Linked DNA regions of Coturnix japonica. The protein of the gene in region 3 purifies or fractionates together with the protein of the main gene of each other region. This does not show direct contact. Links are inferred from orthologs where the notes say so. Each region holds a gene or a part of one and is shown on either strand. Other genes may lie near its edges. The genes, in order: RIPK1, TLR4 and TICAM1.

What was found.
Region 1: the proteins of TICAM1 (region 3) and RIPK1 purify together in Homo sapiens (affinity purification with western blotting; 4 studies listed by BioGRID). This does not show direct contact. The link is inferred for Coturnix japonica from reciprocal best matches to the Homo sapiens genes TICAM1 and RIPK1.
Region 2: the proteins of TICAM1 (region 3) and TLR4 purify together in Homo sapiens (affinity purification with western blotting; 3 studies listed by BioGRID). This does not show direct contact. The link is inferred for Coturnix japonica from reciprocal best matches to the Homo sapiens genes TICAM1 and TLR4.

The regions. Positions count from the first base shown.
Region 1 is NC_029517.1:63,195,269-63,198,447, forward strand, and holds part of RIPK1 (receptor-interacting serine/threonine-protein kinase 1), read left to right. Parts: intron 1-307; coding exon 308-395; intron 396-1,221; coding exon 1,222-1,767; intron 1,768-2,841; coding exon 2,842-2,913; intron 2,914-3,179. UniProt on the Homo sapiens protein: Serine-threonine kinase which is a key regulator of TNF-mediated apoptosis, necroptosis and inflammatory pathways.
Region 2 is NC_029532.1:2,459,544-2,462,874, reverse strand, and holds the end of TLR4 (toll-like receptor 4), read right to left. Parts: coding exon 1,627-3,331; 3' UTR 621-1,626; downstream 1-620.
Region 3 is NC_029543.1:3,917,949-3,922,356, reverse strand, and holds the start of TICAM1 (TIR domain-containing adapter molecule 1), read right to left. Parts: upstream 2,846-4,408; 5' UTR 2,676-2,845; exon of another isoform or gene 2,538-2,675; intron 1,735-2,537; 5' UTR 1,528-1,734; coding exon 1-1,527. Other genes in the region: perilipin-3-like, read right to left, coding at 4,169-4,408.

The DNA.
Region 1 (3,179 bases), on a different chromosome or scaffold from region 3:
CATTAATTATGAAATGTATCCCTATGTGCCAATTAAACTTATACTCATTTAGGTAAATGGTGTTCTCTGGCCAGCTCAGAATTACTACAGTTGCATTACAGTTCTTCCTCCTTTCACTGAAGATAAGATTTTGCCCATCTGTAGCAAAGCAGCGGCTATTTTCTGCAAGGCTCTGTCCTCTGTAAGATTGATGGAATCTGTTCACCCAGGTGACTTCAGTATAAGGATGTGTTTTCTATTCTATAGGTGCTTCCTCTCGTTAAGCTTTTACCTATAACTTGACCATATGCTCTTTTCTTACATGTAGGAAATGTGGCCCAAGTCAGAAGAACTGCTGCAGAGGATGAAATCCCTTCAAATAGATGCTGTAGTAGATACCAGCAATGGCCAAATAGGTGGGTGTTCCAAGTTGCATAACTAGCACATCATCCTGGCATGTACTCTGCTAAAGATAAAGTTGCCCCTTTTGTAGCTATGGAGAGACTCAGTCATTCAGTACTTCTAAAATCCAGTAGAAGTCAAATCCTACTAACTTTGCCCACACCACTGTAAAGATTTTATTAAGCAAGTAACTTGGAACTATAACAGGCAACCGATAAACCTTCACCAAAGCTATGTTTGCCATAACAGAAGTAGAACTATTGGACCTAGTAAGGCAGGCCAATTGCTGTACTTTTAAAGTAGCGTAGGTACATTTCCCTAGCAAAAATAATAATGTAAGACTACAGATTACAGATGCTTTTGTGCTTTTTTTTGGTGACATCTCCAGATAGGATTTCTACATAATCTTTTGCAGATATGACTTCAGTGACAAATTATTTGTGTTGCATTAAGTAACGCCAATTACAGTGAGTTCTATCTTCCATCTTGTTATACTCTGGTCTTACACTGGTTAAATACCAGTTAATGAAGTCAAGACTTGGTAGTAAATTAGACCCTATGAGTGCTGCTGGGAACCTGTTGTTTCAGTGACTAAGAACCTGGTGTCGATATATGCAGAATACACAGTGAATTCAGACACTGCTTTCCTAAGCATAATTCAGTGACACTTCCCAGAAAGGGAAGTATTACATAAAACAGCTTATGCTGGAAGTGATGCTACAGTTTCATCTTTTATAATTTACCATAGTATTAAAAATAAATTAATAGAATCTAATGTCACCACTAGTTATATACTTGCAATAGAATCTGTTTTAAATACTTCATTTTTTTCCCTTTCAGATCAACCTAATTCTCTACACAGCTCTCAGGGTCAGATTAATGAAGCCTTGTTTGCTGCCTACCCTGAGAACCAGCCTGTTGAGAGCTGTGAGACTTCGTTTACATCCCCTGACAATCTTGAAAGAAAACTTGAACGTGAATACGACTACCATGCATACGGCAGCCGGATGGATAAATCAGTAGCTCCACCATACAGCCCTGAAATGAGAGAGAGAGAAACGAGACCTAAAGTTTCCAATGATCCATTTGCAAAGCTGCCTTCTGTTCCTCAATGGGGTGAACTGTATTACAAAGCTGAAAATATAGGATCAAACACTAACCCTTGGTTTTGGCCAAAACAAGCTGCAATACCAACTCAGGGAAATTTAGAAAATTTTTATGGGCCAAACGTTAACAGTCTCCTAACAGGAAACACTGAAGATCGCTATGATCCATGTTCAACAAGTGCCTTTAGCCTAAGCAAAACTCCTGTGCCGGAATCTCGCCCAAACCTGGGGGCACAGAACAGCGTAAACCAGCAACAAAAGAATGCAGATGTGGATACAGGTGAGATTCTTCCTCCTCTTAACTCTTGTGTTTCTGAAAATGTGTTTTTTCCTCTAAAGACAAAGCAGCCTTAATAATAGCAGACAGTGGATAATACTGCAGCAGCTAACAAAACCAAGAGCTCTTACTAATCACACTTGGAAAACTAAGGAGTATTTTTGACTCACAGAATGTAACATTCACACCACAGGCTGTGTGCGCAAAAATGGAACTTTTCTCATGTATGTGCATGTAGCATTTCAGAAAAGAGATATTTAAGCTTGATTTGCAGCAAGTTAAGAGTTCAGGGAGCTAACAAGGAACTAAAGCTCTTAACTGGTTTCTCCAGAGAACACTGCTCAGTGCTAACACAGAGATGCCCTTACAGTTTGCTAGTGAACTGTGGAATAGAAAGCTATGGAGAAAACGAAGAGAACAGTGAGTGTCAGTAACAAGTGGAAGCAATCATTGTAGGGAGGCAACATACAATATCATGGCAGGCATCAGGCAGATGCAGAAGACCTGCACTGCAGTTCTTCTATTGTCTTATTTGGTGACCATAACCCAGTCACTCTTACTGCCCAGTCACAAACTGTCAGAGCTCATCTGAGCGCATCCAAATCCATTACTACATCAGACAGGAAGTTACATCTCTGCAGGACATTATTGCTACCAACAGAAGATACGGTGGCATCCCCAGCTACAGCTGGTCACAACTAACATGCTAACAAACCATGATCAGTCTCAGCAGTAAATAGCAATGTGCTCGGCAGCCTTCTTGGTTTGGAGGCAGTAATACCTGTGTCTACGCTGTGATCCTGTGCTGCTTTCTGCCAGGCAGGTGTTCATACACCCATGTGGAATCCTGTTGTTCTCACTGGGATCCAAGGATCACAAAGGCTATCAGTCCATAAGCAAAACCACAATAAGGGTAACTGCTTCAGAGTTATTAAAGGAGATAAAGTCCTGTTTGTTAAAAAACTTTCTGTCTTTTTGTATTTAAGAGCGCTATGCACACTGTACAAATAACAGCAGTACTTGTAGATTTGTTTTTTTTAATTTCCATAACACTTCTGGCATTTCCTCTCTCTTTAGGTATCAAGGTTTCTGCCTCTTTCACAAGGGGAACTTTCACATATTATCCTCCTGCAACTCCAATAACCAGAGGTAAATGCTGTAGCCTTTGTTTGTCTTGGTAGCCAACAGTTTATGCATTGCATTACGATCAGTGAGGAAAAAAGCTTCAGCATCTTCATCATCAGGCTGCCCAGGGGGGTGGTGGAGTCTCCTTCTCTGGACATATTCAAGACCCGCCTGGACGCCTACCTGTGTGACGTGGTTTGGGGAGCCTGCTTTGGCAGGGGGGTTGGACTCAATGATCTCTAGAGGTCCCTTCCAACCCCTACAATTCTGTGATCTTGAAACAATTCATC
Region 2 (3,331 bases), on a different chromosome or scaffold from region 3:
GTGCCAGGGGAGGATCAGGTTGGCTATTAGGAAACACTTCTTCTCAAAAGAGTGGCAATGCATTGGCACAGGCTGTCCAGGAGGTGGTGGATCTCACCCAGCAGAGCCTGTGGTGCATGGGTGGACACCTACAGCACACAGCAGCTTGGCACTGCACCCCAGTATAGGGTGTTCTTCTGCACCACCCCTGCTGTCCTCCTACAGTTGCTTTGATATGCAACAAACTGTTCCTTTTTAAGCAATACTGGCCTAAACCCTTATTGTGATACTCAGAACCACTTGCAGGCTTTCTGAAGCCCATTATTACAATTACAATCAAGAATCATAGGATGCCAGAAATGCGTATGCACCGAACTGTTTGCAGAAGAGACGCGAAGAGGGATGGAGAAATGATGCTTCTGTACTGCTCAACTCAGCAGCAGTGAGTCTCACCCCATTTCATTTTCCCTCATTCTCTTTCCTGACGTAACTGATGATATCCGGGGCTAATATTTGCTTTTCCTCCATGTTCTCCTGTAGCCTTGAGGCACGGAAACTAGAGCTGGGCCTGTGTCCCAGCACTGCCTCCCATAGCCAATCCCCATCCCCTGCCCTAGTCAACAGGTGCAAAACAAACTGTCTAGGCAAGCAAACACAGCATCCAGCTTGGTTTTATTAAAGCTTTGTTTCATGGGTCACAGAAGACACTAGAGAGGTTTTTGTTAGTGTTATCCCAATACACTACTGATAGAACACACAGAGAAGGGACTGTGGGGCATCTTTTTCCAGCACAAGCCCTGAAATTAGCTTTCCCTCTTTTGGAAGTAATGTCTGAAGTCAGTCTCACCTATAGCTGGCTTCCACGGAGATGCTGCTATCTGGTGCTGAGAAAAGTGAGATGGATCAGGCCTTTTCTTCTGAGAAAATATCAGGTCTGATTCACCACTCAATTGCTTCTGTTTTACCTCTGTAGAATGGCATTGATTATAGAGGGATTTGCAAGTTTAAGACTAGACTAACTCAGTGATTAATCCCAACCAAAGCCTTCCGTAAATAGAGAGCAATACTCCAGCAGTATTCAATATCCAACGCATCAATAGATTGCTCTGTACTGTGATTCAATGGCATTAAACTTTCCCTCCTTTTAGTCACAGTTAGTGATGGGATACTTTTAGTTTAGCTAACCCAGACCTAAATCTTATTTCTTTTCCTACCATGTCTAGAGTTTGGAGCTGTTCTGTACCTTTACCCTCACCCAGAAACCCTGGGGTCCACTCAAAGTGTCAGACTGAAATTCTGCTGAGCAAACAGCCCAAACTGAGTGTCAGAGGTAAGAACAGCCCATCCATTCTCATATCTATTCACTGACCCACCAGATCTGCATGGATTTCTGGACCGGCTTCAGCTGACTCCTACAGACAACAACAGAGCTCAGGCATCTGCAGTTTTTCAAGCTGTTGCCACTCCTTATCTTGATAGCTGCCTGGAGGAAGGGCAGTCATCAAAGTAGGTGTTTCTGTAGTGCTTTCACATTGTCTCTTTTCACTTTGTCCAACCCTGAACAGTCACAGAAGGACGGGCTTCTGAGCACCAAGCATCAGCCAAGGCCAGGGTGGGAGACAGGACAGAAGTGATGTTTCTTTCTCTTTACATGAGTTTTATCTCCTCCTGATTCCATCTTTTGCCTTCTAGCAGGACTGATGTCAGCTGCCTCCAGAAGATATGCTTGCTTATTTCTTTGTCTTTCCACTCCAGATACGTGTTTCTCCTCAGATATCGGGACAGTCCCAGCCTCTGCCTCAACAAGGCCTTATCCACTTCCCCTAATATGATCATGATGATTCCAGCCTTCCCTTCAACAAGCTGCCAGGACTGAGCAATGTCGAACTCAAAGCTACACCACTTGCTTTCCAGAAAGTCAGCTGAGATGACTGCAATGACATTTCTGCTACTCAGAAAACCTTCTTGGATTATATTAGTGACAATGGGTACCCCCGGTAAAAAATCCCTGTAGTAAAGACAAAGCTGGAAGGGAGGTTTTCCTTCTTCTAAGGGTTCCACAAGCTCTTTCATCACCCATTCTTGGTCTTTGCTGGAATGGATAACAAAGGCATCGTAGGTATCTCCCCTTTCTGCAGAGTGTTTGCACCCACTGAGCAGCACCAACGAGTAGTATAGCTGGAAGAAGTACTTATAAATGAGGAATAGAAACACTCCTGCGGCAACCAACACAATCACTGAGCATGCTACTGTGGTTGGGTTGGGATGGCAAGAGGACATATCAAAGCTTGACAGGCTCACGTTCTCCATGTAGGCAGGTGTGTGGCATATCATTGAATGCTTGTTCTGCAGTAGATCCTGCTTTCCCTTGACCCATTTCAAGAAGTTCAAGTGTATGCAGGAGCATTCAAACAAGTTGTGAGAAATGTCTAGTGAGACCAGACCATCAGGCAGGATTTTCAGGGCTGAGTCTGACAGGAAACTCAGCTGGTTGTTGCTGAAATCCAGGGCTGTGAGGGCTTGGAGTGGCTTGTAGGTTACAGGATCAAAAGTCAATAGCTTGTTGTTGCTGATTATTAGCTCTTTTAGTTCAGAGAGAGCATTAAATGTACTTTGGTCCACCCATACCAATTTGCAATTTGAAATATCCAAGATGCGGAGGCGTCTTACATTCTCAAAGTAGTTGGTCAGTGTGTTGTTCTCAAAGGAATTGCCTGCCATCTTTAGCACTTGCAAAGAGTCCAAGCCATGAAAGATGTGATGGGACATAACATGAGTTTTGGTGTAGGAGATATCAAGGTAAATGAGTTTCTGAAGGAGTAGAAAGACAGGGTAGGTGCCATGATGAATTATTGTGGTGTGTTGAAGGTCCAAGTAGAGCAGATTTCTCAGATTAGCAAAATCTCCAGTCAAACTGATGTCAGAATTGAAGCTTAAGTTCAAGTGTTTCAAATTTGGAGACCTGGGAAACTTATGGGAACAGCAGGTAAGGAAGGAGAGACGATTCTCACTCAAATCTACAACCTCCAGGTAAGTCAGACTCCCAAACTTTTGCTCGAAGCTATTTAGGTCTTTGCTCTTGGTAATACGAAGCACTCTCAACTCCTTAAAAAGAGACAGCTTCTCAGCAGGCAACTCCTGAAACTTAGATTTCTTCCATTCCAGGTGTTTCACTTGAGAAAACATAGGAACTTCTGACAACGTTTCAAGACGAAGGTCCACGAACCGAATAGTGGAGACATTGCCTATGCAGTCAAAAAGAGTGTCTGTGTCATTCTCAAAGTCTCTGAAACACATTAAGACAAACTCCTGCATCTGCACCTGACACAGACCGCTCAAGAGTCCGTTCTGA
Region 3 (4,408 bases):
GTTTGTTTGGAACATACACTGGTTACACAGGAAGTTCTTGGTCAGCAGAAGGATGAGGAAAGCAGAGTTTTCCATAGCATCCTGAAAGCAAGTCAGCTGGTTGTGTCCTGCAACGAGGAAGTCCTCGCAGAATGTGGCACCGTTGGGAACCCCCATGTTCTCCAGCAGGTCCTTGATGCGACAGGCAATACGCTCATCTTCCAAAGCATGTAGAATAACAAAAGTGAAGAACTTTTTCCCTTCACCATTGGGCTTTGGTGCCAATGCTGCTTCCACAGTTTTTAAAGAATGAGGGCCAGTTGAAGAGGGAGGGGAGGGGAATGGTATGTTGTAAGGAACACTCGGAGGAGCAGGGGTAATGGTTGAAGTGAAATAGGTTTGAGGAGGAAAGGGAAAAACTGAAGTGGAAGCAGGTACAGAGTTGGAAATGCCTGCTGGAATGTAGGAGTCTTCTATGGGTATGCAGGCAGGACCAATATTTATTGTCGTTCTTGAATAGGGAAGATCTGTAGATAATTTTTCCTTTTGTTCTCTGCTTGCTTTTGGTACCTGAGGTTCTGCTATCACTGTGCTGGAAATATCATTACTCTCAACAGGTTGACCCACAGCACCCAGTGTGGGCAGCTGTGTTTCAACAATAGGGAGAGATGGACAACAGGAGTTGACCTGCAGTGCCTTCCCCAGATGGGGGACTTGGGGATTTGTATCCTGCCTGGAACGGCTGCTGGGGCTGCTGGCTCTGCCTGCTTCCTGCAGGCTGTGGCTCTGTTTCTCTCCATCAGGGTGTCCAGCATCGCTGGTGCTCTCTTCACACAGCCGACTGGACTCACAGGAAGGAGCTGGCATGTGAAAAATAGCTGTTGGTGATTGACTGATCAGGAGACTAGTGAAAGAATCTGAGATCCTTGAGGAGCGCAAGGTCTGTGGGCCTGAAGGGTCTGAGGTGTTTCTAATCTTCATTGGGGAACTTTTCACCATGGTATTTGGGCTGGTCTTACCGAGAAATCCTGTGCTCACATCAGATCTCAGTGTCCGAAACTCACTATCTGAATCCACAGTGCTGATACATCTTTCCTGATCTCCAACTGCAATGCTATTGAGAGTGTCCCTCTGAGCATCCCTGCTGGCACTGCTAGCAGCCTGTTTAGCTTTGCCCACAGCTTTGTGGCTGCACAGCTTTTCACCTGCCAGCAGCAAGTAGATCTCTGCCAGAAGTTCCATGGCACCTGCATCTAGCTGGGGGTGCTGAGAATTACCACTGCCTTTCTGCACTCCTGCGGTGCCTAGTTTGGTCTGATGGATGATGTACAGGGCTGCCCGGTTATCTCCCAGAGCATTCAGACAAATTTGTGCATCTGCTTCTTGTCCCAGAGTAAGCAGGACCATGGCCTGCAGTAATTTACTGCTGGGCCCAGACATCAAATACTTCAGTTTCTGTTCGAGACTAAGGAGTTTTTCTGCTGGGACCTGGGACAGAATATTAAAAATATCCTCAAAGCTTGGCTGGACCTCAGCATTCTGTGCCATCTCATCAGCTGGTGGCCAAGATGATGGATTGGAGCAGCATGAAGGGAAAGAGCATATTACAGCATTTGGGTTCAAGGTTTATTTCCCTGCAGTGCTCTGTGGTGTCCCAGTTGTAATTCCTGTACCATGCAAGCAGAAGCTTTTTGCAGCTCAGGGACTCGTCTCAGAAGCAAGATATCTCTGTCTTGAAGAACGGAGCAAATGAACCTATGAGAAAAACATGGGACAACACATTGAGACACAATGAGGCAGAGCTCCCTGGCTCTCAGTACTCTGATTTTTTTTCTTCCCCACATTTACTGCTTACAGATATGCCAGTGCATGTGACACGCTACACACATAATTACAGCTCTGTTACTAAGCAAAGAGTAAGTTCTTCACATTTATTTCACATTATAGACAACTGTTTTGAAGTCACTGCTAAATTAATCATGTATTTGGGTAAAGCCAGGCACTCATCTCCTCCAAGGCCCCTCCAGCCGCTCTTCTGCTCTTTGCAGTGGGCAGCTGGGAAATAAAGCCCTTTCAAATCTCCAGGGAGGCCAGGAACACCCACACATCTTCTCTTGGGCTGTCTCATGTCACTGCGAACATTGGTGTGATCTCCTTCCATATTTAATCCCTGGTCTCTCCTAAGCCGCAGCACTCAATGCTGGCTGAGCTGGGTTAGACTGAATAGCAGACCTGCAGCTCCACACACAGCCTGGTGGAACAGCGTTCTGCATATAAAGGAAACTGGGGTGTCTACAAATAGCTCTCAACTTGGTAAAGTATTGTTTCTTGCACTCAGAAAAAAATCTCTAATTGCATAATGAATGAGCTCAAGATGAACCCGAGAAAGTTAGTGGCTCTTTCAAAGAAAAACCGATTCAGCGAAACAGTCGGGAAGGCAGGAAAGTAAGGCCGGACATCGAAAGAGCAGAGGGAGACCTTTGAAACTCGTTGATACCCTTCCGCCTTGTGACTCAGCGAAACGCCCCAAATATCCCCAAGCCCCTCGCGGCTCTCACCGTGCCCCTCCGGCTGCCGCTCTCTGCCCCGATGTGGGGCCGCGATGCGCAGCGCTCACGCAGTCACACCACGAGCACCGCTGCCCCGTCACAGCCCCGGCTTCTCACCGCCGCGGTACCCCGGGTGTGCGGTCCTACCTGCGCTGCTCCCGCGCCAGCCGCCCCGCGGAGCCGCTCGGGGTCAGGCCCGAGGCCGCGGACGGGGTCTGCAGCGGAACGCTCCGGGCTTTCCCGGGCCCGGGGTCGTTGCTGACCGGCGGGGCCGCCTGTCACACGAGGAAGCGGAGGAACTCGACACTACGGGGCGGAGCGGAGCGGGGATCGGCCGCAGGGCTGGGGCGGAGCGGGCTCAGCGGAGCCCGGACGGGAGCGGAGCCGGGGCAGGAAGCAGCGCCCCTCCCGCTCCCCGTCGGGCTGCCCCCGGCAGAGGATGAGCCATAGATCGCACCGTGTGCCGTCACCCTCTGTAACAGCTCCTGGAGGTATTTAACGCAAGCTGGCAAGAGCACACCCACCAGAAGAACTACATTTTCTTATTGCGAGAGGGTTTTGGCATCACTCCTCCGAGCGTCAGGAGCCAGAGGTACGATGGGTGTGTGATGTGTACGTAGCGTGGGGCTGGAGCACTGTCAGGGCAGCCAACGGCACGCAGCAGTATCCTGTGGCGTGATACAGCCACGTTCCTCCTGCTGCAGCTATCCACTGAAAGCATTTATTAGGAGAAGCGATTTGACCAACACAAGCTTACAACCTGCTCTGGCTAAAGGAAAGAACACCAATTTTATTCTGAAGTTTTTGCCATTACCCCAGTCCTATCAGTGGTGCCATACCAGTACAAAATAAACAACATCAAGAATAGCTACAAAGCCTTGTTTGCTTGGGAAAAGTGAACAGTACCTATCTCCCTATTTTGTTTACAGCATACTCCTATAAACACAGCAGAGTAACTCCTGGCAAAAGCCACAAAATATTTCACTCGTGGTGTTAATTTAGACACAATCAGATAATCCCTGAAGTCCTTTTCACTATCAGGAAAGACAGTCCCACTGCAGATTGACATGCTTACAAGAAAATCCCTCTACAAAACAGCAGGTGTTTGGCTGATAAAAAAAGAGGCACTTCTCAGAAGGAGCCCCCAGCTGTTCCTGGTCTGCTGCAGGGTTCAGCCTCTCAGGGAAGCTGAAGTCAGAAGGGAAGTAGTATCTGTAACATGTAGTTCTAAAACTTCCGGAGGAAAACACGATCAAAGGCTGAGTGCATAACTTTTAGGATCTCTGCAGCTTGGATGAAGTCATAAACATAATTCAACATTAAAAATAACTTGAGACTTCTCACTCACAGCTTGTCTCAGCATCAACTGCCAATCACATACAGCCGTGCTGACTTAATTAAAAGAGATGAAGTATAGGCCCTCTACCTTCCTTTTTTGGACTAACATGCTTTAAGAAAAAAATACATCAAGATCTGGAATCACCCCACCTTGGTCATCGAGCCTCCTTGCAAACTATGTCTTACTGTAAAATCCTCGGATAGTGAAAGCAGGAGGAACACCCAGCGTGACTGACAGTTGGGCGCATGATTAGAAGACTAAGGGACGTTCTACTCAAGGGGCCTCAGCTCAGCTGTACTTCTCAGGGATCTTCCTTCAGTGCATTCGTTATTATCTCCTTCCCAGCCAATGCCTCTTCCACACCTATCTTCTCTTCTAGCTTCTCTAGCATTCTACATGCTTCCCCCGGAATCATTTTTGCTCCTTTTGGTTCTTCAGGCATCTTAGTCACCTTTGATGAAGCAGCCTCTTCTAAGGCAAATGATTTTATATTACTCTTATCTTTCTTCCCCTTTCTGCTATCCTGTGACACTTTTGCCTT